Linked DNA regions of Saccharomyces cerevisiae S288C. The protein of the gene in region 3 interacts with the protein of the main gene of each other region in a biochemical or structural test. Each region holds a gene or a part of one and is shown on either strand. Other genes may lie near its edges. The genes, in order: SUP35, YDJ1, HSP104 and TOM70.

What was found.
Region 1: the proteins of HSP104 (region 3) and SUP35 form a complex in vitro, tested with the Saccharomyces cerevisiae proteins (7 studies listed by BioGRID, with this or other methods).
Region 2: the proteins of HSP104 (region 3) and YDJ1 form a complex in vitro, tested with the Saccharomyces cerevisiae proteins (2 studies listed by BioGRID).
Region 4: the proteins of HSP104 (region 3) and TOM70 form a complex in vitro, tested with the Saccharomyces cerevisiae proteins (one study listed by BioGRID).

The regions. Positions count from the first base shown.
Region 1 is NC_001136.10:805,097-812,555, reverse strand, and holds SUP35 (translation termination factor GTPase eRF3), read right to left. Parts: upstream 4,233-7,459; coding exon 2,175-4,232; downstream 1-2,174. Other genes in the region: HMO1 (Hmo1p), read right to left, coding at 1-446; ARG82 (inositol polyphosphate multikinase), read left to right, coding at 924-1,991; heat shock protein HSP42, read right to left, coding at 4,808-5,935. UniProt on the Saccharomyces cerevisiae protein: GTPase component of the eRF1-eRF3-GTP ternary complex, a ternary complex that mediates translation termination in response to the termination codons UAA, UAG and UGA.
Region 2 is NC_001146.8:501,975-508,695, reverse strand, and holds YDJ1 (type I HSP40 co-chaperone YDJ1), read left to right. Parts: upstream 1-1,598; coding exon 1,599-2,828; downstream 2,829-6,721. Other genes in the region: MTQ1 (S-adenosylmethionine-dependent methyltransferase), read right to left, coding at 1-938; AQR1 (Aqr1p), read right to left, coding at 3,212-4,972; putative glucosidase SUN4, read right to left, coding at 5,919-6,721. UniProt on the Saccharomyces cerevisiae protein: Probably involved in mitochondrial protein import. Is also required for efficient translocation of pre-pro-alpha-factor. Involved in heme regulation of HAP1, as a component of the high-molecular-weight (HMC) complex.
Region 3 is NC_001144.5:85,513-93,849, reverse strand, and holds HSP104 (chaperone ATPase HSP104), read right to left. Parts: upstream 5,228-8,337; coding exon 2,501-5,227; downstream 1-2,500. Other genes in the region: Fe-binding Fe/S cluster assembly protein ISA1, read right to left, coding at 5,695-6,447; polyamine transporter TPO1, read right to left, coding at 7,286-8,337. UniProt on the Saccharomyces cerevisiae protein: Required, in concert with Hsp40 (YDJ1) and Hsp70 (SSA1) and small Hsps (HSP26), for the dissociation, resolubilization and refolding of aggregates of damaged proteins after heat or other environmental stresses.
Region 4 is NC_001146.8:394,802-402,390, reverse strand, and holds TOM70 (protein channel TOM70), read left to right. Parts: upstream 1-1,853; coding exon 1,854-3,707; downstream 3,708-7,589. Other genes in the region: NCS2 (Ncs2p), read right to left, coding at 1-1,351; mitochondrial 54S ribosomal protein bL35m MRP35, read left to right, coding at 4,021-4,368; NMA111 (Nma111p), read right to left, coding at 4,713-7,589. UniProt on the Saccharomyces cerevisiae protein: Component of the TOM (translocase of outer membrane) receptor complex responsible for the recognition and translocation of cytosolically synthesized mitochondrial preproteins.

The DNA.
Region 1 (7,459 bases), on a different chromosome or scaffold from region 3:
CATTTCTTGGAGATTTCTTGAGTAATCTCAGTTGAGGATAAAGGTGGCAAGCCAGCCTTTTGTCTGTCTTCACGAAGTTCTTGACGAACGTACGCAGAGTAAGCAAAGAAAACAGTCAGTGGCTTCTTTGGAGCATTTGGATCACGTTCGATCTTTCTTCTTACAGCCTTGACTGGAGCAGCGATAATAGCATCTTTATCATCATCAATAGGGTTAACCAGCTCCGAGCTGATGCCGTGCAAGTGGTTTACACCAGAAGTCAATGTTTGCAAAGACTCAGTCAAAGTGGTGAAAGCCTCTATCTTCTCTTCTTCATCGTCGCCGATGGCATTGTAGAAATCAACAATAGAGGAGGCTGTCTGATTAGCAGCTTTTGATAACTCGAAGAGGGAGGAGACGAGGGAGTCTTTGGCGGACTTCAATTTGACAGAAGGATCTGTAGTCATGGTGTGACAGGCTTGTTGTGTGTGGTAGGATGTACATCCTAGAGTATAAGGCAGTAGACCAGCCCTGAGGGCCCGCTGGGACTAATTGGTACTTCTTGCTAAGTTCTTGAAGGAAGAGAGTGTTCCAGGCAGAGTTGCCCCCCGTGGTACTGGAGAGAATCTGAGTGAATTCCCTTCCGGAAGCTTCTCTCCGCCACAACGGTCGGATGAAAAAAAAAAGCGGGAAAAAAAATGGTGAAAAACCACGTTCTCGAAGCCAATTGGTAGATAATCGAGTCGGGTAATATTTCTCAGAAGTAGGCTGGGTAACTAAGTATCTCACCAAAATGTCTTTATACTGTATACAAATGGTGGGACAAAATGGAATAAGATAAAGCCATTGGAGATCCCTTTTTTACCAGTAATCAGTTAAACAATTTCCATTAGTAGCTTACATGGATATGTGCATACGTGTGCCTAAGTAGAAATTTTTTTCACATGGATACGGTAAACAATTATAGGGTTTTAGAGCATAAAGCTGCTGGCCACGACGGTACTCTAACAGACGGTGATGGATTGCTCATCTTTAAACCGGCCTTTCCGCAGGAACTGGAATTCTACAAAGCCATACAAGTGAGAGATGTGAGTCGAAGAAAGTCTTCGGCTGATGGAGATGCTCCCTTGTGCTCTTGGATGCCCACGTATCTTGGAGTCTTGAATGAAGGGGCAAAAATCGAGCAAAGTGGCGATGCTGCGCTTCTGAAGATAGATGAGCGGTTAAGTGATTCCACTGATAATCTTGATTCAATACCTGTAAAGTCTGAGAAGTCCAAGCAATACCTCGTTTTAGAAAATCTACTATATGGATTTAGTAAACCTAATATACTTGATATAAAATTAGGCAAAACTTTGTATGATTCGAAGGCATCATTGGAAAAAAGAGAGAGAATGAAAAGAGTCAGTGAGACGACGACTTCAGGATCTTTGGGTTTCAGGATATGTGGCATGAAAATACAGAAAAATCCCTCTGTGCTGAATCAGCTTTCGCTCGAATATTACGAAGAAGAAGCAGACAGTGATTATATCTTTATAAACAAATTGTATGGTCGTTCAAGAACCGATCAAAATGTTTCAGATGCAATTGAACTTTATTTTAACAATCCTCATCTGTCGGATGCGAGAAAGCATCAACTGAAGAAAACATTTTTGAAAAGATTGCAGTTGTTTTATAATACTATGCTAGAAGAAGAAGTTAGAATGATATCAAGTAGTCTTTTGTTTATTTACGAAGGAGACCCGGAGCGATGGGAATTACTAAATGATGTTGACAAACTTATGCGAGATGATTTTATAGACGATGATGACGACGATGATGATAATGATGATGATGATGATGATGATGCCGAGGGAAGCAGCGAAGGACCAAAGGACAAAAAAACAACTGGTTCTTTGAGTTCCATGTCACTAATAGATTTTGCACATTCTGAAATAACGCCGGGGAAGGGTTATGATGAAAACGTGATTGAAGGAGTTGAAACCTTGCTAGATATTTTTATGAAATTCTAGATATATTGAGAGGTGAAGTTTACCTTGTTTATGGTATATGGTACAAAAAGAACTAAACTAATTATACGTCTATATATATATATATATATATAACAGCTTTATTAAACCTTGTTTTTTAATATAGAAGAAAATGCTTTATGATCGGTATTATTGTGTTTGCATTTACTTATGTTTGCAAGAAATTTACTCGGCAATTTTAACAATTTTACCAATTGCTATTGTGGTACCTTGATCTCTCAAAGTGAATCTACCTAATTGAGGGTAATCTTGGTAAGTTTCCACACAAACTGGAGCTTCAGTTTCTAAAACAGCGATGACCTTCATACCCTTCTTAGCAAAAGCAGGTGGTTTCTTTGACTTACGGTTGGTACCCTTTTCTAATTTGTGCAATAACTTAACAATATGTACCTCTTCAATTGCTGTATGAACATGCATAACACATGAAAAACCGGCTGCTATGATAGATTTTAATTCTACAATAGCAATTTGAGCTACAAACTTGGTAACACTCTTGATAGGGTTCTTTGGCGATGTTAGTACAAAACCTGGTGAAATGTCTTCTTCTTCAACACCTTTGATTCTTAGTTTAACTTGCTCACCACACATAGCCATATCAACTTCATTTTCAGTTTCGTTGTAAATATTTTGAATTTCCACAGCGGTTTTGTTAGGCATCAGTAGGGTGGATTGACCCTTTTTGATATGACCGGATTCAATTTTACCTTCAACGATGGTACCTAGATCCTTCATCTTAGCGGCAATAGGCAACATGAATGGAGCATTGATGTGACGGTCGACGTGGTTCATTGTATCCAGATATTCTAACAGAGTTGGGCCGGTGTACCATGGGCATTCTTTTGGATCTACGTGATCTTTCAAATTTGCACCACTGTAGCCGGATACTGGCATAAATACAACGTCTGTCTTAATGTTGTAACCAATTGCTCTCAAGAAATTGCTGACATTACTCACACATTGGTCGTAACGTTCCTTAGACCAGTTAACGGTTGGGTCATCCATCTTATTTACGACGACAACCATCTTATTAACACCTTGGGTCTTGGCCAATAGGGCGTGTTCACGAGTTTGACCACCTCTCTCAAAACCGGTTTCGTACTCACCCTTTCTGGCGGAAATGACCAAAACACCAACATCAGCTTGAGAAGCACCACCGATCATCTCGGAAACGTACATTTTATGACCAGGAGCATCCAATATGGTATAACGCCTTTTTTCAGTTTCAAAGTAGGCCTTACCAACTTCGATAGTCTTACCATCATTTCTTTCTTCTTTGTTGGTATCCATGACCCATGACAAGTACCAACCTTGTCTGCCTGCATCCTTGGCTTCTCTTTCATATTTCTCAATAGTTCTCTTATCCACAGAGCCAGTCAAGTATAGTAGATTACCACCCATAGTAGATTTACCGGCATCAACATGACCCATGAAAATTAAAGAAACGTGATCTTTACCACCAAACATATCGTTAACAACTTCGTCATCCACTTCTTCTTCCTGTTCCTTGATCAAGGCATCAGCACTGGTAACATTGGCATTGTTGGTATTATGTGTTGATTCAGAGATTTTAAGGTCTTCTACCTTTGGAAGTTCCGATTTTTCCTCCGTCTTTTCTTCAGTCTGGACTGGTTTCTCCTCCTTTTTAACTGGTTCTTCGACCTTTGTTGGCTCTTTAGTTGGTTCTTTGGTTTCAGCAGACTTCTCTTCCTCTTTCTTATCAGATTCGGCAGGTTTTGTGCCAACCTTCTTGGTAGCATTGGCCAACTTGATACCGGAACTGGAGACAAGCTTCAAAGTCTTCTTTGGTTTGGGAGCGGCCTGCTTTTGTTGCTTTTGAAAGTCGTTCAAAGACATACCTTGAGACTGTGGTTGGAAACCAGCTTGATATCCTTGCAAATTGTTATTGTAGTTGAAGTTTTTGTAATTTCCACGGCCACCTTGTGGATTGAATTGCTGCTGATAACCGCCTTGAGGATTGTACTGTTGATAGCCTCCTTGAGGATTATACTGTTGCTGGTAACCGGCGTCGGGATTGTACTGTTGATAGCCACCTTGTTGGTACCCAGAATAACCTTGGTAATTTTGGTAGTACCCACCTGCAGGTTGGGCTTGAGCATTGTAAGCTTGATAACCTTGGTATCTGTTGTTACCTTGTTGTTGGTTACCGTTCTGGCTGTATTGCTGGTAGTTTTGCTGATTGTTGCCTTGGTTTGAATCCGACATTGTTGCTAGTGGGCAGATATAGATGTTATTCCGAGCAAGTCGATGAAGAAACCGCTTTTTGTTACAGTACAATGGAGTCTTTCAAGAGAAGATGTACCAATATACACTACACTCTTCAGAAGCAATGGGAGCTTTGGTCGAGTGAAAAAAAAATTTTCTCCATAAAGAAAGATCATATTATACGATGATGTAAGATATAATACCCGGTTGTAATGTACATTTAAGAGCAAGGTAAGAAGTGACAATAACTTCTGTATGATCTTAGCATGTACCTCTTTTGGTGGGCTGAGAACTAAGATTCATCTTTTTGCGGAAGAATTTTGCTATGAACTTCACAACTTTATGAAGTGGTTTAAGAGAATTACAAAAGAAATGACACAGACTCGAACACTGTGACGCGTCGTCTTAGTAAAAAATAATAATTTGAGTCAAATAGCGCAGCTAATGCGAAACAAAGAAATGAAGCATATACCATTCGTTGTATGATTTTTGTGTGGTTGACAGATATTCTGCCGAAATTTTAACGCTTATTATAAATATAAATGTATGTATGTGTGTATAAACAGATACGATATTCAATTTTCTACCGTAGGGTTGGGATTTTCTTCAAACTCCAATTCTTCGTCGGGTATTTCCTCAATGGCGATCCTCTTTTTTGGCTTCGGCTTTTCAGTGTCATTGACAATTTTAGGCACCTTAATTTGTAGTAGACCGTTGTTGTAAGTAGCTTTAATTTCTTCGTCCTTAATGCGTGGCAGCACGGGGAATTTAACGGTTCTCTCAAACGCACCATATTTTAGTTCCGTGATCTTCAAGAATTTTTCATCAATGCCCACTCTGTCTTCGATCTTACCCTTGATGAGCATCTCATGAGAAGATGGATGGTAATCAATGTGGAAAGCCCTAGAGTTAGCACCTGGTAACGCAAGAACAACTACGTAAGTGTCCTCGGTATCATAGACATTCACTTCTGGTGAAAATGGTAAGTCCATTCTCGTTTCAGGCTTGGATACTTGTAACGGGTCAGGTATTGGGGAAGGCGCTTGTAGGTGAGCGAACGATGAAGATTTTTTGGCTAATGGTGGTCTCGACGATTCCTCCAGCTGATTCAAAGGTTTTTCTTTGTTGGTTTCGCCAGCTTCCTCTTTGGGTGCTTCAGACTTATCCTTCTTATCCTTTTCTTCTCCCTTTTCGCCCTCCTGTTCGGTATTTGCTTCAATTTCTGGTTCAGTGCCTTCATATGGTGGAACACCTATTAACGCGGTTAATAAGTCGTTTAAACTGTTTGCCTGTTGGTTGGTCCTATTATTCCTGGCAGTATTACAATGGTAATATGATGGATATCTTCTCGAGTTGCTGTCCTCGCCACCATCTTCCTGTCTTGTAGTGCCGCTGTCACCCACCATATCTTCGTCTTGGTCCTCTTCTTCACCATCCTCGTCATCATAACCGTATTCAGGACTATAGTAATAGGCTTGTCCAGGGAACTGGTAGTAATAGGTATTAGGAACACCATTGTATCTGCTATACAATGGATGATGACGAGGATGATGCCCGCCAACGTGCACTTGTCCATAATGGGGATGGTATCTCTGTGGCCTTTGTGGTTGGCGAGGATATCCTTGCTGCCCTCTCTGGCCAGTTTGGTTGGATAATGCGTTCAAAACGTCATAAAGAGATAGGGATGGTTGATAAAAACTCATTGCTTCGGCTTGGTATGATCTTAATTTGTGTGGGATATGGACAATTGCCTGAACGTGTCCCTATGTTATGTATAATTATACTTCTTGACCGTATGTATGAGAATAAAAGATAGTTCCTGCCGGGATCAAAAAAACGATGACAGCAAGTCTTATATAACTAACTTCACAGAGGCCTCCCCCCTGCCGCCAAGGCCGCCCCTGTATTCGCCCCTGAGCAGTTCTCAATTCGCGAACCTTCCAGAACTTTTAAGCGCGTGTTCCAGGCGTTGCCGCCTAGCCACTGTTGGCCTCCGCCAAATTACTCCGGCAACACACCTATATAACTGCTCGAGCGGCTGATAGGGAAAGCTGAATTGAAGTATGTCATATCCTGTTTTAAACAAGTCTCGTTTTATGCTACTCTTCTCGAGAGCCAAGCATTACCATTCCATCTCTTGCTATTTTATTGTTCTTCTTAAAATGTTCACTTTTTCCCTTGCTCACTTGTTACCCAACCCCAGCTAAATATTAAAAATTTGGAAGAGAGTTTGGACAGTACACTACGTATTGAAGTACTCTTCAATTCAGGCGCGGCCTAAATTGTAAGTGATCTGGCAAGATGATATCCAGGAATGAAAATATCAATCGTAGAAACAGTAACCGTCTTGAATAAAAATCAAATATCATCTGCCAAATAGTACCCATATTACTAGTACATCATTATATGTGGCACAAGAAGTTAACGTGAAGAAACAGTTCTTATGTTTTATAAAAGCTGAAGCGCAAGAATCAATAAATTTAACATGAAAGAAAAAAACTTCTAGGACATTCTGTTTCACCTAATATTATAGCCTTTAACAATAACGTAATCCAAAAAAATTATCCGGTTATTCTCCTCTCACTAATCTTGCAATTCAGCTTCGTAAAATACTACTGTTTATATATGTTGGTTGCTATCGGTACTTTAGACTATGTGAATATTGGGAATTTTGAGATTTTTTGCTTTTAGGTGAAGCTAGTGAATTTCTCACAATAGTAGAAAATTCGATTGCAGAGAACCATAAATGGTTCGGTAAACCACTACATTGCAGTTGAGTACGGCAGTCATCTAATAAGGTACGGTTCAGCCGTTCAGCGACTCCATGTGCTCGGGAATTCGCTGTGGTTGTATAGCATGGAGTTATACCATTTTTTTCAAGGAATTTATGGAGAGTTCTGTTAGTATACTCAGAACCACGGTCCATTTGTATAACCAAGACACTGGCCTGAAACTGGTTTTTAATAAAAGCTAGTATCGTAGTAAAAACATCGAGGATAGAGTCCTCGCGACGGTCGTGTAATGGATAAACCCAACGGAATTTTGTTGTCTCATCAGTAAATGAGATGAAATAGGATGGTGCACTCTTTGGTAGGTTGTGAACTGGACCAAATATGTCAGTATGTAGGTATTGAAAGGGTTCGTATGAATTTTGGTATTTTAGTCGTGAACCTTTGATATGTCTGTGTTTGGTGCTTTTGCCGATTAAACAATCAGGACATTGATAG
Region 2 (6,721 bases), on a different chromosome or scaffold from region 3:
CAATTAGCTTTGTGCCCACTGAGTGCGGTTGCTAAATGTCTTATAGTCCCAAAGGATGCAAAAATCTGGTGTAGTATTCGCCCTTTGGGAGTGGCCTTAAACCCATATACGACTCTTGCTTTCCCATTCGAGTCATATTTCAAACCAATAGACCAAATACGGCTGAGATATGAATCTTCTTTAATGCGCCTCTCCACGTAATTAAACTGTTCAACGTCTCCAATCTCATAAAAGAAGGAGTCTGTCTTCGGCAGCCAATAATTTACTAGATTTATATAGCATTCAAGCTCACCCACTAGCGCTAGCCTTGGTTCGAACAGCTTTACGGAAGTTTTAACATCTCTATTGAAGTCACGCTTTCGAATGTAGGGGGGGTTACCGGTTAATATATCTATATGGGATGGATATTCATCGCTAGCTTTTGAGGACAATATATTATGTTGCACGAGCTTACCACCACTCACCTTGTTTTTCAGCATATTTTCTTTAACCAACTTAATTGCTCTTGTTGACACGTCAATGGCAGTGAACGTGCAATTTGCTATACCATGACTCAAAGCGAGAGCAATACACCCTGTTCCTGTAAACGTATCACAAATATGCAGTGGTATAGTATGCCTTGAAAGCATAGAGTTGTTTAGAGCTCTTATTATGGCCATCACCCATTCCTCGGTTTCCCATCTTGGTATAAGAACACCAGGCTTGCAAACTATGTCCAAGGCCCCAAACGGTTGCGATCTTAAGATGTACTGCAATGGGACGTGTTTGTATCTCTGTAAGCAAGCCCAGCGGATTGATTTATCCGGAGGCAGCTCTTCGGTGAGCCATTTGTACTCGAGTTTCGCTTGCTCGAGAGTCCTACATTCTGGAAGCAAAAGATGCAAACCAGGTCGTATTCTCGAAGCTTTTCTTATCAATGATGTAGATATTCGAGGCATATGTTCTTTCTAACCGTTTCTTTTTCGTTCCTACCATTCAACTATCGCTCCTTGTCTACGAGTTAAGGGGAAGAGAGTGCAGAGTTTCTAAAAGCACTTGAAAACGTAACAAGACATTGACCGTAGAGAGTCGGCAAAATAAAGTCGTTTATACACGTTTGAGTTGTGTGTATTCAACTATGGAATACATTGTTATAATGAGTATGTTGGTATAAAATAAGATGTGAAGTCGCTGGTTTGAGCACGTGATATACACCTGACCTATAATATTTCGTACAAAATTATAGAAGGCCATCGAAAAAATAGAAAATTTTTTCATTTCTTTTTCAAGAAATGAAAAGGCAATAGAGCATCGGCAGGTATGGAAAGTATTTAACTTGCAGATCAATCCACGTACTTATAAAACGTGTAAAAACTTGCTCTACGTTTATATGTTGGTTAGGTAGTTCTTGTTTGATAAGGTGTGTAGTTCGTTTTTATAAATCAAAGTCACAAAAAGTCCTTTTCCCCATATATATTAGGCCCGAACAAGCGTCTTATTTGATAACTGTTACGTATTTATTTTTTTGTTATTTGTTACCATATCTTTTGATAGAACATAATTAAAAATTATCCAAACTGAATTCTACATCTTCCAACAACAATAATAAACGTCCAAAGATGGTTAAAGAAACTAAGTTTTACGATATTCTAGGTGTTCCAGTAACTGCCACTGATGTCGAAATTAAGAAAGCTTATAGAAAATGCGCCTTAAAATACCATCCAGATAAGAATCCAAGTGAGGAAGCTGCAGAAAAGTTCAAAGAAGCTTCAGCAGCCTATGAAATTTTATCAGATCCTGAAAAGAGAGATATATATGACCAATTTGGTGAAGATGGTCTAAGTGGTGCTGGTGGCGCTGGCGGATTCCCAGGTGGTGGATTCGGTTTTGGTGACGATATCTTTTCCCAATTCTTTGGTGCTGGTGGCGCACAAAGACCAAGAGGTCCCCAAAGAGGTAAAGATATCAAGCATGAAATTTCTGCCTCACTTGAAGAATTATATAAGGGTAGGACAGCTAAGTTAGCCCTTAACAAACAGATCCTATGTAAAGAATGTGAAGGTCGTGGTGGTAAGAAAGGCGCCGTCAAGAAGTGTACCAGCTGTAATGGTCAAGGTATTAAATTTGTAACAAGACAAATGGGTCCAATGATCCAAAGATTCCAAACAGAGTGTGATGTCTGTCACGGTACTGGTGATATCATTGATCCTAAGGATCGTTGTAAATCTTGTAACGGTAAGAAAGTTGAAAACGAAAGGAAGATCCTAGAAGTCCATGTCGAACCAGGTATGAAAGATGGTCAAAGAATCGTTTTCAAAGGTGAAGCTGACCAAGCCCCAGATGTCATTCCAGGTGATGTTGTCTTCATAGTTTCTGAGAGACCACACAAGAGCTTCAAGAGAGATGGTGATGATTTAGTATATGAGGCTGAAATTGATCTATTGACTGCTATCGCTGGTGGTGAATTTGCATTGGAACATGTTTCTGGTGATTGGTTAAAGGTCGGTATTGTTCCAGGTGAAGTTATTGCCCCAGGTATGCGTAAGGTCATCGAAGGTAAAGGTATGCCAATTCCAAAATACGGTGGCTATGGTAATTTAATCATCAAATTTACTATCAAGTTCCCAGAAAACCATTTCACATCAGAAGAAAACTTGAAGAAGTTAGAAGAAATTTTGCCTCCAAGAATTGTCCCAGCCATTCCAAAGAAAGCTACTGTGGACGAATGTGTACTCGCAGACTTTGACCCAGCCAAATACAACAGAACACGGGCCTCCAGGGGTGGTGCAAACTATGATTCCGATGAAGAAGAACAAGGTGGCGAAGGTGTTCAATGTGCATCTCAATGATTTTCTTGATAAAAAAAGATCAACTTATTCACGATTCATTTATTCATCATACTTTTCACTTCAAAATACAGTTTTGTAGCTATACATATGTAAAGTAATAATGGTAGAAAATGCAGTTTACCAAAAAAAGTTCTAATTATGACGAAATCTTAAGGAAAGAGTAAAGCAGGGATTATATGCTGAAATTTCCACTGTATATATTTGCCACAGAAAACCATTTTTTGTATTAGGTATATTTAGTGCACCTTTAACATGTCAATAATTCAACGGAAAATTAACGAAGTAAATAATACATTAATTAGGAAAAATTTACATGAAAGTCTATAAGCTGTTTATAAAAAAAATATGCAGGGATAAGTGTCTATCAAATTGAAGAATGCCAATTAATTATGATTATCGTTCTGGTCTCTTTTTGTTCCCTTTTTGGCTTTGACTGCCAAGGTGTTTAACCAAGACTGTCTTTGTTGTTTCAATAATCTATCCTCCCTCCACTTCATACCATATTTCATCGGAATAAACATTAAGAAGTTGAAGAAAAATACCAGCGCACATAAAAATGTAAAAGTACCACCTACAGTCATCGCAGCTTTCATTTTGGCAAAGCAACCCATGAAGATGGTACTCAAACTGCACCTAACAAAGTTGAAACAACTACTTGCTGTAGATGATTTCGTTGGGTACAAATCGACCAATAACGTAGTTGATGTTGATAATGTACTCATAGCACAGTATGAACAGACAAATGAAGTAATTAAAATAGATTCGATCCTCCAGCCCTTATCTATACTCCAACCAAATAAAAGATAGGCTACGACGGCCAAGAAATTTTGGGGCAGAAGACAAACTAAACGGACTTTGAACATATTAATCTCTGCGTCTTGTGGAATCAACCCGTTAGCTTTGTCTTGCTCGAATTTCTTGATCTTTCTCTTGAAATACATGTCAATAATTCTACCTGTGAAGAAGGAACCCATTAAACCGCCAATACCACCGGGTAGATAACACACACCAATAATGACCAAATGATAGTTGTATGGCGCCACTGATAAACCGGATGAAATAGAGGAAAGCATTAACGTCCACATAGCAAATAAGAGCCCTGATGGAAATAAAGACAGAATAATTTCTGGCAATACAAGGATCTTCCCGGCGGATGACAAATCTAGTTTCGGAATGGTGGGATCTAATGTCTCATAATCAGGATTATCGTACTTGAATCTCCTTCTAACTGGGCCCAGTAGGAAAATCGGCGCTCTGTTGATGAATCTTTTAGGCTTAATGGAAAGGTTACCTGCAATGGTTCGCTTTGTTTCTGGCAAAATAAGAAAGGCAATTAGAAAACAACTTCCACAACCAATGGTCAAAAACCAAAAGATAGCTCTCCAATCCCACCTTGCAGTCAGGACGGCACCAATAAGACTACCAAAACATTGACCCAGTAAAACAAACCCTGAGGTGGCGCCAACAAATGTACCTCTTTCATGCTTCAAAGTGAAGTCCCCGACAACACCAGAACTGATTGCAATTGTGGGGGAAATACCAATACTCTGAATACACCTCAAGAAGATAATAACACCGTATGATGGAGCACATGCTAGCCCGATGGATGCAATAACGTATATCAGCATACCTGCTAAAATTATAGGTCTCCGTCCAAAGCAATCCGCCAGACCACCGCTAACTGTGGGAGATATACCTTGAAACAACAGATACACAACCACAGTAACGTTAACCATATTTTCATCCACATTAAATTGCTTTTCCAACTGCCTCAAAGCGGGATAATAGATCGGTGATCCCAATGAAGACCAAAAGCCACACATTGTTAGAATTGCAACCATTCCCCACTTCTGACCGTAACTTAGTAAAGTATATGGCGCTTTTGTCTCTGCAGTTATCTGTTGGGTTGGATCAACTTTATCATCACTGGAGTGAGAAGAAGTCTCAGAGTCTAAATCGCCTTCTATTTCCCTTGTGGTAGTCTTGGATAGAGTCCCGTGACTGTTGATATAAGCGCCTTCGAAATTTAGTTTTTCACTTTTCGTTTGACCATCTGGTTTTGTGTATTCTCTCGTCAGATGCTGCTCATTGTGAGTAGGATACATCTCAATATCTTCTGTGTATATACTGTTACTTCGTGACATTGCTGATTCGACTTTCTGAATCTAGCTTGGATTCTCAAAAAAATAAATTTATCTCCGTATAAATGCTAACTTTGTAAGCCTGGAAAAATCCATAATTTTATATAGAACGACAATATTAGCAATAAAAAGTTAGTAAAAAGTGTATAACCTTGACAGTGTTAAGCGTTATATAATATTGAGTATGATCAACTGTATCCTCGATGAGGGCAGAGAAGTTTCTTTTTCCTTGCCCTAAGGTGCCCGCAACTTCCCGGTGACGAGAAAAAGAAACGTTGGAACGGCTTCTCGTCTGAAGAAAACAATGCAGGCCGGGCATTTCACGGAACAAAAACGGTTCCATCAAGCCGGGTGATTCATAAATTATCCGATACCGGAACAAATCGGTGAGAGATTTTCCGATGGAGGACGGGTAACGAGCCGGTATTTACCGATCTATGGAGTTTCCGAGTCATTACGGGTCCTTTTGTTTTCGTGTATGCTCCCTTCCCCGTAAGAAGTATACGTAGGAAGTGCGGTCTGCGCTGGACAGTATAAAACGGAAACAGGAGTCATCGAGGGGCTCCGGATTTTTTTTTCTTTTTTTAGCATTTAGCCTAATTGCACATTGTGAATAGATTGCCGTAGTAGAAAAAAGCCTTAGGAGTAGATAGCATACGGCAACAGAACTACAAAAAAAAAAAAAAGAGATTTGATGTCTTTTTTTTTTTTTTGGGTGGTTTTTAGGACAATGAAAGAAGAGGTGTGCGATGTATGTAGGTTTTCAAATGTCTTTAATATTACAAAATAATTTATGTCTGGAAGAATGATAAATAGAAACAAAGTAAAAAAAAATTGATATTAATCCGGCGTGGGTTTTAGTGTATGTTAAACAGACAATAAAATGGACGGGCAGAAAAGAATGGGGTAATAATACAATCAACTTACTCAACTGTTGATGCGCCTAAGTTTAGTTGTATAGAACAAACTTAGCTTTGCCAGCAGTAACGGAAACGGTACAACCGTCAGAGCCACCGCTGAAGCTACCGTTTTCATAGATACATTCACCGTTGACTGTAGAAGAGTCATCAGCGGCGACAATTTTGACATTGAAATTCAATGCGTTACCGTTGTTTGGGTTGGGAATCAAAGAAAGGTAGGCGACACCATCAGAAGAACCAGCGCCAAAGTTCAATGGAGCCCAATTACCGACGCCTGAACTTGAAGAACCCCAAACACAAGCATCTTCGACAGAAATACCGGCATTGTTAACGTAGTATTGCGCGGATGTCTTCAATCCTTGCCAAGTGTAGTAGGTGTCCTGATCAACGACAGTCAAGGGTAAAGAGTCACCTGCTTGCACATATGTAGGAATCACCATGTTTTCGGTACCCGGGTAATCGGTCCTGCAGATAGCAACATCGTTGCTCAATTCAGAGACGACGTAAGCGGCATCAACGCCCCATTCGCATAAATAGTCAGTATCTGTATTTGAACGGTACAGGTAGCCGTCCTTACATAGCAAACCACCAATGGATCTGCCGTCAGATGGTTGGTCAGAAGGCCATTGTGTCTTGGACATACCTGGTTGGCAAGCGTATGAGCAGTAAGACCCTTCTTTACAAGAGCCACCCGTAGAAGTGTCAGTATTTTCAACACCAGACCAGCCACCTTCATCTAACCAGCTGATGGGGATAACACCTTGACCAGATGGAAATTGGCCGCAAGGAATGGTACCGTCTTCAAATTTTTCATATGGACCTGAAAAGTCAG
Region 3 (8,337 bases):
CTACTATAGTACTTTTTCAACCAAGTGATTATGTCCATTAGTGTGCAGTTCAGGTATTTGCTCCCAAATCGTATAGAAAAAAATGGTAAAAATAGTGATGGCGAAATGGGTCTTTTACTAAGTACATGCTAAAATATGGCGTGACCGTAATAACAAAAATTCGAGTGCTTTCCCTAAATAAAGTTACTATTTATTCGGGGCATCTAACAAATTTCGACATTAATTCACTACAATTGAGGTAGTACATCTTGGTTGTTCAAAAGTGTATAACAATCGTATGTTCTTTACAGTCCATAAAAAATGCAACTTTGAGGCTACCTTTTTTACCCACAATTAAACTGTCATTTGCACTTGAAGTGTTCGTGCTACTGTTCCTTTGTTCTAAGCCGTCAAATCAAGCTAAGGGCAGAGTTGGAAAACGCGTCACAATACTATAGGGGTTTTCATTACGTTTTACTTTCGGAACGAAAGAAGCAATCCAAACTGCTTAAAAGAAACGTATCTTGATGTCCTGCAAAATTTCAAAAATCAAGAATTTATTGCGTTTGCATCAAAAAACGTAAAAAAATATCTCCGATTAGTTTTTATTACCCACATATTGTACTAAATAATCTCACTCGGTAACAAATACTTTGTATTGTCTTTGATAGGGATAAGTGTTGTCAATTGCCACAGAGGCGGTATGTGACGTGAATATATGCGATAGATAGTTATGATACTAATTTGTCAACAGTTTTTTGTATTTTGAATTTCAAAGTGCACAAACTGAGGATTCTCAGCCTTCCTACGGCATAATCCTTTATAATTATTGTTTTAGCATATATCTGTATCAGGGTCTTTTGGCCTATGCTTTATGAATTGCATACCATTAGTTGTAATTTTTTTTCTGTTTCAAACAGGTAAAGAGGGTGAAAGCCATATATGAATGGGGGACAGATGAACCGCTTGCTGATCTTACTAAGTAATTGTTTAATAAGTGGTAGAATTGGGCACAGGTGTTTGACTGTAGTAAAGTTGGTGGCACGATATGGCCTCCAAATATGCGCGAGTTTTAAAAAATCAGGACATTCATTGTTCAGTAGTACGCTAAAACTTGTAGAACTCTAAGAAATAAACCATTATTCTACTGTGATCTTTAGAATCAAGAACAAAGATGGACAGCCTAAGCTAGTGCTTTGGGTCCAAAAAAAGAAAATAAAGGGGCGAGCTGGGAATTGAACCCAGGGCCTCTCGCATGCTTTGTCTTCCTGTTTAGTCAGGAAGTCGCCCAAAGCGAGAATCATACCACTAGACCACACGCCCTTATTAACTTGTGAACTTGATCCATTATGAACAATCTAGTACTGGGGGTTCGTGGGAATTTTAATCAGGATTGATAATGTAAATGGATAAAGAAACATATAAAAGGAGTACTAATCGTAATATTATTATGTAGAAATAACAGTTCTCTTTTTGTAATTCTTATATCTGTTGGAATAAAAATCCACTATCGTCTATCAACTAATAGTTATAACTATCACTATATTATCATATACGGTGTTAGATGATGACATAGGTTATGAGAAGCTGTCATCGAGGTTAGAGGAAGCTGTAGTGAAAGGATTGATAATGTAATAAGATAATGAAACATATAAAACGGAATGAGGGATAATCGTAATATTAGTATATAGAAATATTGATTCCATTATGAGGATTCGTAGATCCTCGAGGAGAACATCTAGTATATTCTGTATACCTAATATTATAGCCCTTATTAACAATGGAATCCCAACAATTACCTCAAAATTCACCCATTTCTCAATATCCTCGAGAAGAAATTTTAATATATTGTGCTGTGTTCTTAATATCATATGACCTCTGCAACAATAGAAATTCTAACAATCATCTTAATGGATTACATCGTTGGAAATCATCGCTGTTCGAATTTTCTATCATTCAATTTTCCAAGCGCATGGAAAAATGTTCGCTGTAACATTATATTGGCACAAGTGATTATTAATATTACATGAACTGCTATGGTAAAAATTTAAACGTGCAGTTCAGATAGTACTGAAGTCTAAGTTAAAGATATACTAATTTTAACATGATTTGGTAGTCATATATATGAGTCATATGAGTCGCTACATTCAAATGTACAGTAACTATCAAAACCATTATTGTAGTACCCGTATTCTAATAATGGACCAATCCGCGTGTGTTTTATACTTCTAATATGAAAGTAAAGAGGTCCAGATTTAACCTTCACTTATTACTTCCTTTAAACTTTAGTTATCAACGCCATATGTCCCAAATACAATAAAAAAAGATTTGACGTCCAGTGGACTTTTTTGTCCATTGTTTACTTTTAGATTATTCACAGCAAGATGAACTAAACGTTAAAATGTGAGCTCTTTTGCTCGGGTGTCAAGTTCAATTAAACAAATTCCATTAGTTTTATTAATTATATATATTATATTACTGATTCTTGTTCGAAAGTTTTTAAAAATCACACTATATTAAATTAATCTAGGTCATCATCAATTTCCATACTGTCCTCATTATCGTCATCACCTAACGTGTCAGCCCCTATAGTAGCTTCGTGATTTGGTAGAACTTCCAGACATTCTTCAGCTTCCTCAGGAACATTTTCATCACGAGATTTACCCTTCTTCAAGACGACATTGACAGTTTCCTTATCCTTGATTTCATTCTTTAAGATCCTTAGTGCCAGTTTGTTCAAAATTTCGTTTTGAATTAACCTGTTCAGTGGACGTGCACCCATATCATCGGAATAACCATATTTGGCCAAGAAGTCCTTGGCCTCTTGAGTTAAATTCAACTTGTAATGTTTATCATTTTGCTCGAATCTCTCTTCAATTTCCTTCAAACGAATATCCACGATCTTATGAATAGCTTTTCTAGATAGCTTGTTGAAAATGACTATACTAGAAATTCTGTTCAAAAATTCTGGTCTGAAATGTTGCCTAACAGCACCCATGACCAAATTCTTGGTAGATTCTTGGATCTTTGATCCTTGTTGAGAATTGATAAATTCAGCACCTAGATTGGAAGTCATGATGACAATACAATTGGAACAGTCGATCGTCTTACCTTGACCAGAAGTAATTCTACCGTCATCCAACATTTGTAGCATGACAGTCAAAACATCAGGATGTGCCTTTTCTACTTCATCGAATAACAAAACGGAGTATGGTTTGTATTGCAGTTGGTTAGTTAAAAAGCCACCTTCATCGTACCCGACATAACCTGCCGTGGTACCCAACAACTTAGAGACCGCATACTTCTCGCTTAATTCAGAACAATCGACCCTGATCATCATGTCCTCATCATTAAACAAAAATCCAGCAACTTTTTTAGCCAATTCAGTTTTACCGGAACCGGACAAACCTAAAAATAAGAAGGATGCTGGTTGCCTTGGATTAGCTAAACCTGATCTAGACAATCTAACGGCATTGGAAACAGCTTTAATGGCATCCATTTGGCCCACGACTTCAGATGATAAGTCACGTTCCATATGAATCAATTTTTCATTTTCAGATTCTGACAACTTCTTAACAGGGATACCAGTCAATCTTGCAGCTGTTTCAGAAATGGTGTCTGAATCGACCACATTTTGGATCATGGAGTTGGCACCAGCACGTCTCTCTTCCTCAGCAACCTGATCTTCAAGCTTTTCGATTTGCTTTTTGATATCTGGGATGGCGAAGTACCTTAAATCAGCGGCGGTAGCAGTATCATATCTACGTTCAGCATCAAGGGCCTTGTTTTCCAGTTCATCCAATTTCTTTTTAGCTTGTGTCAATTCTTCATGGCCATGCTTTTCTTCATTGTAACGTTGTCTTAGAGGTTCCAATTCTTCTTGCAATGAAGCTTCCTTCTGCCTAGCTAACTTTAATCTATCTTTAGTGGTGGAGTCGGCATCTTCATCTCTCTCTAGAGCTTTTATCTCTACTTGAATCAATTGCAATTGACGTTCCTTGGAATCCAATTCTTCTGGCTTAGAATCTCTTGCGACGGCGACACCAGCACAAGAAATATCAACTAAATCCAAAGCAGAATCTGGCAATCTTCTATATGGCAAGTAACGCTTGGCTAATTGAGCAGCAGTGACTAAGGCGCTATCCAGAATCCTTACACCATGATGTATTTCATACTTTGGTTGCAGACCTCTCAATATGGCCACTGTTTGTCTCACACTTGGTTCAGCGACTTCAATTTTCTGGAATCTTCTTTCAAAGGCACCATCCTTTTCCACAATAGATCTATATTCGTTATTGGTGGTGGCACCGATGACCTTCAATTGGCCTCTGGACAAAGCTGGCTTCAAGATGTTAGCAGCGTCGTCCTTACCATTACCCATTAACATGTGAATTTCATCAATGAATAACACAATTAGAGTCTTTGATTCTTCGATTTCCTTCAAAACACCTTTGAATCTTTCTTCGAAATCACCTTTGTATTTAGCACCTGCGGTTAATGCGGCCAAATCTAGACTGAACAATTTAGCGCCTTGTAAGATAGTGGGAACGTCATCGTCAATGATTCTTTGAGCAACACCTTCAATAATAGCGGTCTTACCGATACCTGGCTCACCAATTAAACATGGGTTGGACTTAATTCTTCTTGCTAAAACTCTAATAGTGCTTCTTATTTCTTCTTCACGGCCGATGACAGGGTCAAGTTTACCTTGACGAGCCTGCTCAGTCATATCAATGGCGTACTTTGATAAATATTCCAAAGGTGTGTTCGTATCAGCGCCACGAGAGTCAATTCTAGTGTTACCACGAAGTTCAAGAGCTTGTTGCTTGATGGCCTCAATATCTACTTGAGCTTCCTTAAATATTTGCTGAATAGACGAATCATTGAATAGAGCAAACAATATATGGTCTTGCGCTATAAATGAGTCCTTCTGTTGTTTTTGAATCTTAGCAGCGTCTTGAAGGACTTTCCCCAAAGCATAACTTGGAGTTATCTCCGCAGGTGCAGGTTGCTGTTGAGGAATTCTTACTAGATTTCTATTAACCACTTTCTTGAAAAGATCATAGTCGTAACGGCCCTTCTCAATTAGATTCTGTAGGTAAGGGACTGATCCATCTTCTGGCGTTTCAATGAAGGCAGCTAGAATATGTATAGGTTGTAATTGTGGATGTTGATGATCCGAAGCCAATTTTTGAGCCAACGTCAAAATCGTTAGAGCCCTTTCTGTAAATTGCGTTTGGTCGTTCATATATTCTGTATATTTTATGGTACGTGTAGTTGATTTCTTTTTTCTTTGTTATTGCTGATTCGATTCAAGGGTAAAAAGGAACAAGTGACAAAGGAACGAATTATGAAGGAATTGAGGCAAGATTACAATGCCTTATATAATAATCTGGCAGGTTGCATAAGTTTGCGCCCCTTTGCCTTTTACTGTGATATAATTTGCAGTTCTTTGAGATGGGCCCCCTGTTGAAAATTGAACAAAAAAATCGCGGCCCCTTATGGAACGTTTAAGATTGTAATTAATAACCCTTCTAGAAAATTCTGGAAAAATATATATCTACAAGAACAACGAAAGAAAAGTTAGGAACAGCAAACACTACCACGATGGAGGGTTCAATGTTAATATGTATGATAAATATGTAAATAAATAAGTAAATGAATAAATAAGTGAATAGGTAGATTCTTTTTTTCTAAAAATGGTGCAGAAGGTTTTTAAACCATGAAACTCTCGCCACAACCGCATGTGCCCTTGGAGTTTGGATTCTTGAAGACAAACTTAGAGGCCAACTTGTCGTCGATCCAGTCCATTTCACTTCCAATGATGCTGAATAACGCCTTTGAATCGATGACAATTTTAACGCCATCTTGTTCTACTACCTCATCGAATTTCCCCGGCTCGGTGATATATTGTAGATCGTACGTTAGTCCTGAACATCCACGGTTTCTAGCGCTAACTCTAATCAATTTAGGTTCCGGCTGAGCTAGCAGTGCCCTTAAATGCTTGATTGCCTTCGGACTCAGGGTGATCAGCGCCTTTCTTGGTCTCAATTTCCTCTTTCTTTTCTTGGGAGGTTCTGTGCAAGAGCAGTCATTCTTGGATACTGCAGCAGCTATTTGCTCGTCTATAGCTTTATTCTGCTTCTTGATGGCCTCCTCATGAGATTTGATGGTCTCACGCGAAGGGAATGCGTAGCTCGACCACTTCGGGCTTTTAGAAGCCTTGCTACTCTTGCTCTGATTGGAAACTATGAATTTGAAGGGCTTCTTACCTGGACGTTGACTATCTGGAGAGACAGAGTCTGCAGCTGCGGGCACTGTCTTCGGTATGAATTTTAATTTGAAAGGATTTACGTTGTTGATTGTGCGAGACATTGTGCCATTCGTACCGCCTCGCCAAAATCCTCCAGTTGAAAGGAATCTGTGTGCCAGCAGTACTGAATTCCTGCTTCTTCCTGTGTTTATCATTATGTTACGTTATTGTTCCGATCGTTTGTTATACTACCAAATCAAAAAAATCTAAAATGGTCTTTCGTACGAGTGCAAAAATGGTGGCCAAATGTATAAATAAATAAATAAGACGAGTAAAATAATGTCAATAAATAACAGTTTCTTAGTAATTCTAAAGGATTTACAAATATTTGCAAAATTCCATTACTCTTCCTTGCTTTCCTGTCCTCTTTCCCTTTCCTTTATGAATTAAAAGCATCTCAATCTCTTTCCTTTATTCCGTTGAAATTCCCTGTCAATTTTAATCCAAAATAAAGAAGTCATTAAACGGGCATTTACCGGGTGACTGTTATCTGACCAATGAAATCTGAGGGTATGACTAATAAGCCCCCGCCCGAGTTTCGGCCAAGGGTACGGACAACGCCGAGAACCGGCGATGAGAAGAACAATAGCTTTTATCTATTTCTTATTAGAGAGGGATTATTAATCATTAATTAGTGTTTTATTTAGTAACTATGGGCTATACATAACAACCACATAAGAGGAGTCTTGGAGGAAAAAAATGGGAAAAAAAAAAATAGTAGAAAAAAAAGGGGATATCACTACTCTCTAAGTACTCTTGTGCTTGTGCATAGAAAAAGATTTCCTTTGTTCTGTAGTTGTGTGTCTTTTTTGATTGTTTTTTTTTTTTTTTTTAATTTTTTTTTGTAATTTCTTTATATGTCAGCTTTACGCTGCACAGTGTCTATAATGCTATGTCGTTATCGAGCCCTTTGAGCGTGGGGCAGGGTGAGTAATAACAATGAAATAAAAAAATGCAAATATAGAAAGAGCATGATTTCTGCTTTTCTTTTTCTTAAGCGGCGTAAGCATACTTGGATTTCTTTCTGATAGATTCACCATATTTTAAGAATAGTAAAGGCACGGGAATCATCGCAGCGGCAAATAGACCTAATAACAAACCAGCCCAACCGATACCCATGCCACGGAACATATATCCTGCAAACAATGGGAAGCATGCACCAAATGCAGACCTCATGAAAGTGTTTGCTGCGACGGCAGAAGCTGCCAACAATAGATACGATTCAATGATATAGTTTAAACATGGCAAGAAAATACCCATTAAACCGAACCCGATGAAGGCCCCTCCTACTGTGGGGACCATCCAATGAATCTTGTGAGGATAGTAGCCCGTCCAACAGAACCATAAGATACCAATAGGGAAAACGGTACCTGCAATGACCATTGCGTACAATCTGGCCTCGGGCACTAATTTCCCCTTGGCTCTACATCTTTTCAAATAATCGTTGTCCATATACCAAATGAAAGCAGCACACACCATCATACCGATAATCAAGGCGATGTATGGCAACTCACCGTTTTCAGTAAACCCATAACCCTCCACAAAGACAAGTGGGTAGGCTTCCAGTAACAAATACAAGATACCGTAGACAAAAGAGTTGTAAATAGTCACGAATAGTAGCAATGGTTCCACGAAAAGCATAATGATAGGCCTCGTCACAGTTTTTTGGACAATGTCTTTGATGGATAGCTCCACGTCTTCATGAGCAGCATGAATACCCCAGTTATTACTTTGCTTTCTCATCTGTTTGGCCTTGTTAACCAAAATGGTAGGGTGATGTGTTTCTTCAAAGAACAATACGATGGCAACGAAAACTGCGGAAGCGAAACAACCGACAACATATTCTAACCATCTCCAGGTAGTTCTTTGTGCGATATAAGAACCCATGACAGGCGATAAAATGGGGCCTACAAAAACACCTAGAGAAAATAGCGCAATGGCTTTACCTCTAACATTAGTATCAAACATGTCGGCAAACGCGGCGGGGACGACGGCCATGGGTGCTGCCCCGATAAAACCACCAAAGAATCTACATATGAAAATAG
Region 4 (7,589 bases), on a different chromosome or scaffold from region 3:
TGGTATTCAATAAGATTAAACAACCATAACACAATTTGACATCACCGTCTTCAACATCGAGGCTATTACTGGCACCCTGTTTGATTTCATTCAACAATTCAACATAATGTGTGTGAGATTGCCCTAATTTTGAATCTTGCCACTGTTTAAATAAATACTTTTCTTCAGTGGTCTCCACAGGATAAGGCGAAGTAACTGTGATCCTATTTAACCAATTGGATGGATTTGTGTATATTTTAGATTGACATATTTGACATTGTGACGGCTTAGCCATACTTGATTTAGGTTGCGTCAATTTATCTGCGGTTCTTAAAACTGTCGATATTATATTTGAATAATCGTTCTGAATATCCTGAAAGTATTTGTTGGTAATTTCGTTGATTGTCATATTTTTTACCAATTTTTGTTGACCAAGTGACGGCAGTGATTTTCTGGCGATCAAGCAATTAGGCTTCACATTAGTTTCTTCAACGTTAATGAGGAACTGTGCCAGATTTCTGATTTGTAAAAAACTTTCAATCTCGACGGATAATAGATCTTTCATAGGATATAGGTTTTTATACTTACATGGTTTATTATTCAAAGTATCAAATGATTCCGAGTCTAGAAACGTCGCTATTTGAGAACCTTTACCTTTTACCACAAGAGAAATAATTACTTCAGATAGCTTTGTCATGGAATGTCCCCACATTATGGCATTATAACCATTTTCGTATGCAAAATGCTTGATCAATTGAGTTTTTATAATCGATATTAAATCAGACCTGGATGAATTATTGAGACAGTATTTGCCTAATATTTCTTTTAATGTTAATATATTGCTATCATCTACTGACTTTGACTTGCTGAAAATCTCAAAATTTTCATTGTCAATGATAAAAGTCGATACTTCCGATGCATTGTTGAAAAATTCGTTAACATCAATAAAATGGACATTAAATATGTTGGATATTTTATTCAGTTGTGACATTTTTTCATTAATCAAGGATTCCATACGTTCTTTGATAACAGAAACATTTTCCTCGGTGAATACCGTGAGTACATCGACGGTAAAGCCTGTACGATTATTGTGTTGCTTAGTTTGTTCCAATAGCAAGTCGTGCACAATATCTAACATAACCAGAGATCCTGAATCAGAATGTGATAAGGGGAGCAGAATCTTAGAGACGGATCCTTCTTTTTCAAATGGGTATATAACTTTAAATAGGTTCCTGAAATATTCATCCTTCATCATTTGTTTCCTTTGTTTAGTACTAACAAACTTGATGAAACATTCATCGCAAAACTTTTCCTTTCTAGACTCAACTGTCGCTGGATTTCTGGCAGATGCAGGGCACCTCTGGCACTCCATAACTTGATAGAATTATATTTTTAAAACTAGGATAGGGATGGACAATAGCAAATACAGAAACCGAAGTTAATTTTATGCTCGTCTCACTCATCTCATCGGTACTATAACAGTTTTTCACTGCGTAACTGAAAAAAACTCCATAATACGTAGATAATGATGATGTAATTAAGTCAACTATTCAAAAATAATAAAGATGACTTTATTGAAAGAAACACTGTGCAGGCAACTTCAAATGTTTCCATAAGGTTCAACAGTGTTATATCATTTCAGAAACAAACATTCAAGGATTAAGTGGAAGGAAAGAAAGAGTTTCATTGCCATTAGTTTAAAATATACAATATCACTGTATACGATGAATAAGATGGCGTTAAACCACCTTTTGTGTTTGGACGACCAGTGGAAAAGATCTTAAAGGAATTAAGAGGAACTCCACCACTCACCATAAAAGAGAAGCAAGATTCGGAAGTGAAATTACAGCTCACATCTAGGTTCTCAATTGCCAATGAAGAGCTTCATTACAAGGAACAAGACAGCCATTTTGGCAACCGTTGCTGCTACAGGTACTGCCATCGGTGCCTACTATTATTACAACCAATTGCAACAACAACAACAACGAGGAAAAAAGAACACGATCAACAAAGATGAAAAAAAGGACACAAAGGACTCTCAAAAGGAGACTGAAGGTGCTAAGAAATCTACAGCCCCATCAAATCCTCCTATCTACCCGGTTTCTAGTAATGGCGAACCAGATTTTTCCAATAAGGCAAATTTCACCGCTGAAGAAAAGGATAAATATGCATTAGCGTTAAAGGACAAAGGTAACCAGTTCTTTAGAAATAAAAAATATGACGATGCTATTAAGTACTATAATTGGGCATTAGAATTGAAAGAAGACCCAGTTTTCTACTCGAATTTATCGGCTTGCTATGTTTCTGTGGGTGACTTGAAAAAAGTTGTTGAAATGAGTACTAAGGCTCTTGAATTAAAACCAGACTACTCAAAAGTTTTACTGAGAAGAGCTTCTGCTAACGAAGGGCTAGGAAAATTTGCGGATGCGATGTTCGATTTGTCTGTATTGTCTCTAAATGGTGACTTCAATGACGCCTCTATTGAACCAATGTTGGAGAGGAACTTGAATAAGCAAGCTATGTCTAAATTGAAAGAAAAGTTTGGCGATATTGACACCGCTACTGCTACTCCAACTGAATTATCCACCCAACCAGCTAAAGAACGCAAAGACAAGCAGGAAAACTTGCCTTCAGTTACATCCATGGCCTCTTTCTTTGGTATTTTCAAACCCGAGTTGACTTTTGCCAATTATGATGAATCCAATGAAGCTGATAAAGAGTTAATGAACGGTTTAAGTAATTTGTACAAAAGATCTCCCGAAAGTTACGACAAGGCTGATGAGTCTTTCACGAAAGCTGCAAGGTTATTTGAAGAACAATTGGACAAGAACAATGAGGATGAAAAGTTAAAGGAAAAATTGGCCATCTCATTAGAACACACAGGTATTTTCAAGTTCTTGAAAAACGATCCATTGGGAGCTCACGAAGACATCAAGAAAGCTATTGAATTGTTCCCAAGAGTCAATTCATATATCTACATGGCATTAATCATGGCTGATAGAAATGACTCGACTGAATATTATAACTACTTCGATAAAGCGCTGAAACTGGACTCAAACAATTCTTCTGTTTACTATCACCGCGGCCAAATGAATTTCATTTTACAAAACTATGATCAAGCAGGAAAAGATTTTGATAAAGCTAAGGAATTAGACCCAGAGAATATCTTCCCTTATATTCAATTAGCATGTCTAGCGTACCGTGAAAACAAGTTTGATGACTGTGAAACTTTGTTTAGTGAAGCTAAGAGAAAATTTCCAGAGGCACCAGAAGTTCCAAATTTCTTTGCTGAAATTTTAACAGACAAGAACGATTTTGACAAGGCTTTGAAGCAGTACGATTTGGCTATTGAATTAGAAAACAAGTTGGATGGTATTTATGTTGGAATTGCGCCTTTGGTCGGTAAAGCCACTTTGTTGACAAGAAATCCAACAGTAGAAAATTTTATTGAAGCCACGAATTTATTAGAAAAAGCGTCCAAACTAGACCCAAGAAGTGAGCAAGCTAAAATCGGTTTAGCTCAAATGAAATTGCAGCAGGAAGATATCGATGAAGCTATTACATTATTCGAAGAATCCGCTGATTTGGCTAGAACTATGGAAGAGAAATTACAAGCCATTACTTTTGCTGAAGCCGCTAAAGTTCAACAAAGAATTAGGTCTGATCCAGTATTGGCTAAAAAGATTCAAGAAACTTTAGCTAAATTACGCGAACAGGGTTTAATGTAAACAGTAAACATAAACTTAAAAACTTTTAGGAGAAGACAAAAACTAAGTAACAAAGTAGACTAAATGACAAAGGAAGAGCAGCAATGACATTGACATCTCACTTTGAAAATTTTTGTTTTCATTTTTGTTTCAATATACACGTATGCATGTTCTAATATATATATATATATCTTTTTCTTTTTCTCTTTCATTCTGTAAATAATTAGCAGTGCGTATAAACCACAACCAATTTTTTCAACCTTGAAGCCCTCGCCAATTTGCGGAGCCTAAAAAAATCTGGTCAAATACAAAAAAGATAGTATATATATCTATCATGAAAATTAGCTTGCATAACAAACGGCAACGAGGAGACCAAAACCAAAACATGTCTGTTTTCAATGTACTCAAACCACTACTTAAAGGTTCAAATAGTTTCAAAGTGAAGCTCAACGGCTTTCTATTCAATAACGTTTCTACAATAACAATAAGAACTTTAATGAAAACTCATAAAGGTACAGCAAAGAGGTGGAGGCGTACCGGTAATACTTTTAAAAGAGGCATAGCTGGAAGAAAACATGGCAATATAGGCTGGTCCCATAGATCATTAAAAGCCTTAACCGGAAGGAAAATTGCCCATCCAGCTTATTCAAAGCATCTAAAGCGGTTATTACCCTATCATTGAAGGTGGAATAATTATGTTCTCCTCTAAACCAAACGCACCGTTAACCCCAAATCAATTGTTTGAGTATTTGCTTTCGGTCTTCATGTATATAAATAAGTATGAAACAATAACCATAAATTTATACAATCGATAATACCTTAGAGAATTCAAGCGTTGAAGTAATTAAATACTATTTCGTCAGGCGCTTGCAACCATCTCGACATCATAATCCTAACCCCTCAAAATGATTGAAAAACTTGTAAATCTTAACGCTCCTGTGATAGTCTATAAAAAAACTGTTCTTTATGGAAGACTTTGATGTATACATACATACATACATATATAAATGTTTTATCAAATCTGGCCTATTTTTCACTTTGGCTGTTGCCGGTAAATTCCTTTTCAATCCATTTGTGCGTGATGTTGTCCCTCTTCAATTCTGCAGTAGGGAAGTAATGATAATTCGTTTTCAGTGAAATAGCGAAGGGCACATTGTCGAAAGTCATTAACCTCATTTTACAATAACTATTATCAGGGATTGTTTTGACAACTTTCAAAAATGTATCTAGATCAGGTGTTTCAATTTCATTGACATGAGTTATGAAGTTTGTGGCAGATATACCGTACTGGAGCGCCGGTGACGATTCTCCCCTGAATGTACAGTAGACACCCTTTGGAACATCAACCATAGCTTGCAAAACAGCATGATGCGGCTTTTGTAAGATACTACCTGCAAATATTACAAAACGGTCGGTTTCCTGAACTTCCACGGTTTTAATTTTCAAATCAACAATATTACCATCACGAACAACTTTAAAATCTAACATGGCTGATGGCAAAATACCATCAGCTGAGCTTACAACTCCATTCAAATCATTCATTTCAGTGACTAATTTTCCGTTCACAGATAAAATGACGTCACCGGTCTCTAAATGAATCTTGTCTTCTGTATAAGAAACTCTAGAAACAGTGATAAACTGTAGCCTGTTATTTGATTCATGTTCCATACGCATGATCCATTCTTCGGGCACACCTCTAATTCTGGCTTGCAGAACGGAAATTGAACCGAACCCAGCATCAACTATACTTACTCTTGGTTTACCGCCATTTTTTAAGATATCTATAACTTCCCTACAGTCCATTATATCTAATCCCATCAAATAAACCTTTTCTTTATTTTCTAATCTTTCGCCTAAAAATGGAAGCCATAAACCTCTTACTGTACCATCATTATCTGTCAAAATACCGGAATTACATCTGGTGCTAACGTTGCAGTCGATAGATATAGCTTCTAAATTAGTGGCACGGTACCTCGGAATTAAATTACTTGGAATACTTACAGAGGAAATATCGGTGACAGTGGTCTCTGAAGTAACAATTCTATCATTCTGGGTAAAACCTATAAACTGAAGCTTATCACCACGTTTCATTCTGGTGGTAGATAGCTTGGGAGTGATTAGTGGAGCCTTTACTAACTCTGGATCATATTTAACAATAGCGAAGTTGTGAGTTGGATGGAGAAATTCTACTGTGGCTGGAACTACAAGGGAATCTGCAATGGTGACAAAAGTATCAAGACAATCATGTGGAACTACCCTTCTGGACACTAGGACATAACCTTTTTCAGCATCAATGATTAAGCCTGATGTTTTTAAAATATCAGCAGAAAGTGAATCCAATGGAACTGCTGCCATTGTAGCCACTGTACATAACGATGATGACAATTTTGCAACTTTTTCATTATTAACAGGAATAGGAATAATTTTGGCCGAACGAGGTTTCAACGCATCGGCTGGAAGTGGATCAGCAACATTTTTGTAATCCCAAATACCAGTTGTATCGTTCCTTGTGTAAACTCTGAATTCATTGCACCAATGACGGTCAATGTAAATAGAAGTAACAAGTGGAGAATGCTGATCTGTTAGATGGTGGTATCGTACAGTAACGCGCTTACGATCTGGAATAGTTTTCATAATTTCAATAAATGTATCTAAGTCGGGGGTTTCCTTATTGTCTATAGAATCCACAATCCAACCCACTCTTTCTTTTGAATCAAAGTTGAAAGACCCTGATGCACTACTTAAAAATACACCCCTGACAGGTAGCGCATAAAACCTTGCCATTTGATATGATAATTCATGAAAAGTCGCACCACAAACCTCTACATAACGATGAGGGGTGATAGCATGTAAATCACCAACAGTGCAGGTGACAGTACATTCGACACCGCCCCTTTGAATAACCAATTGGATTTCCTTCCCAACATTTTCATCTTGAATTTTATCCACTTGCATGAAAGAAGATATGGTTTCACCGTTTATTGAAATTAGAGTATCACCTTCTTTAATTTTATCATAGCCTGGGCCTTCTCTTAAAACGGTTTCTGCTACCAACAGTCCGATATTTTCGGGAAATTTAGCACGAGCCTCACTTTCTCTCTCTGAAGTTAAACCTAATCTTCTACACTCGTCATAAGGCTTCAGCAGCCATTGAACTTGAATCGTACCACGTGTGATAGGTTTGTTGGTTTGGATGCAAATTAACGCTCTAAGAATTCTATCTAACGGTAAAAAAAAATCAGTAGATGCCTCTGTAGAGCCACCTGCCTGTAAAGCCACAGCATACCCATCTATATTTACGACTGGAGAACCACTTGAACCGCCAGAAGCAGATGCAGCAGCTTGAATATATTCTGTATTGAAGTCATTGTATGTCAGCTCACCATATTCTGGAGCGTTCCTGTCAATTCTACTAATAAAACCTGCTAGGATACTTAATTTCTCACCGGCATCATTACCGACAACTCTAATTTCTGAGCCGACCTTAGCCAAACTTGGTTTTAGCGTTAACGCTTTGATCTTAGAATATTTTATGTTTTTCGGATCGAATTTGAGGAACCCAAAATCATGAACAGGATCTCTGTAAATTGGTATAACATCGCATTCTTCATGATTATCGAAAACTACGTAGCCTACGAACGGACCAGGACCAACGACGTGCCTATTGGTCAGAATTATACCTAATTTAGCATCCACGACAAATCCGGTAGCTTCAGATACCAAAGCAGAATCGCAATCGAATGGCGCAACTTGTGAAAAATGAATGGAAACCACTGATTTAACAACGTTGGAGATGGTATTTTGCCATCTTAGATAATTTTCTGAATCTGTGAGTACAGTGTTATTATTATTAGCAAAGTGCAACGGCTCTATAATGATTTCATGGTCTGTATATTCTTCCTC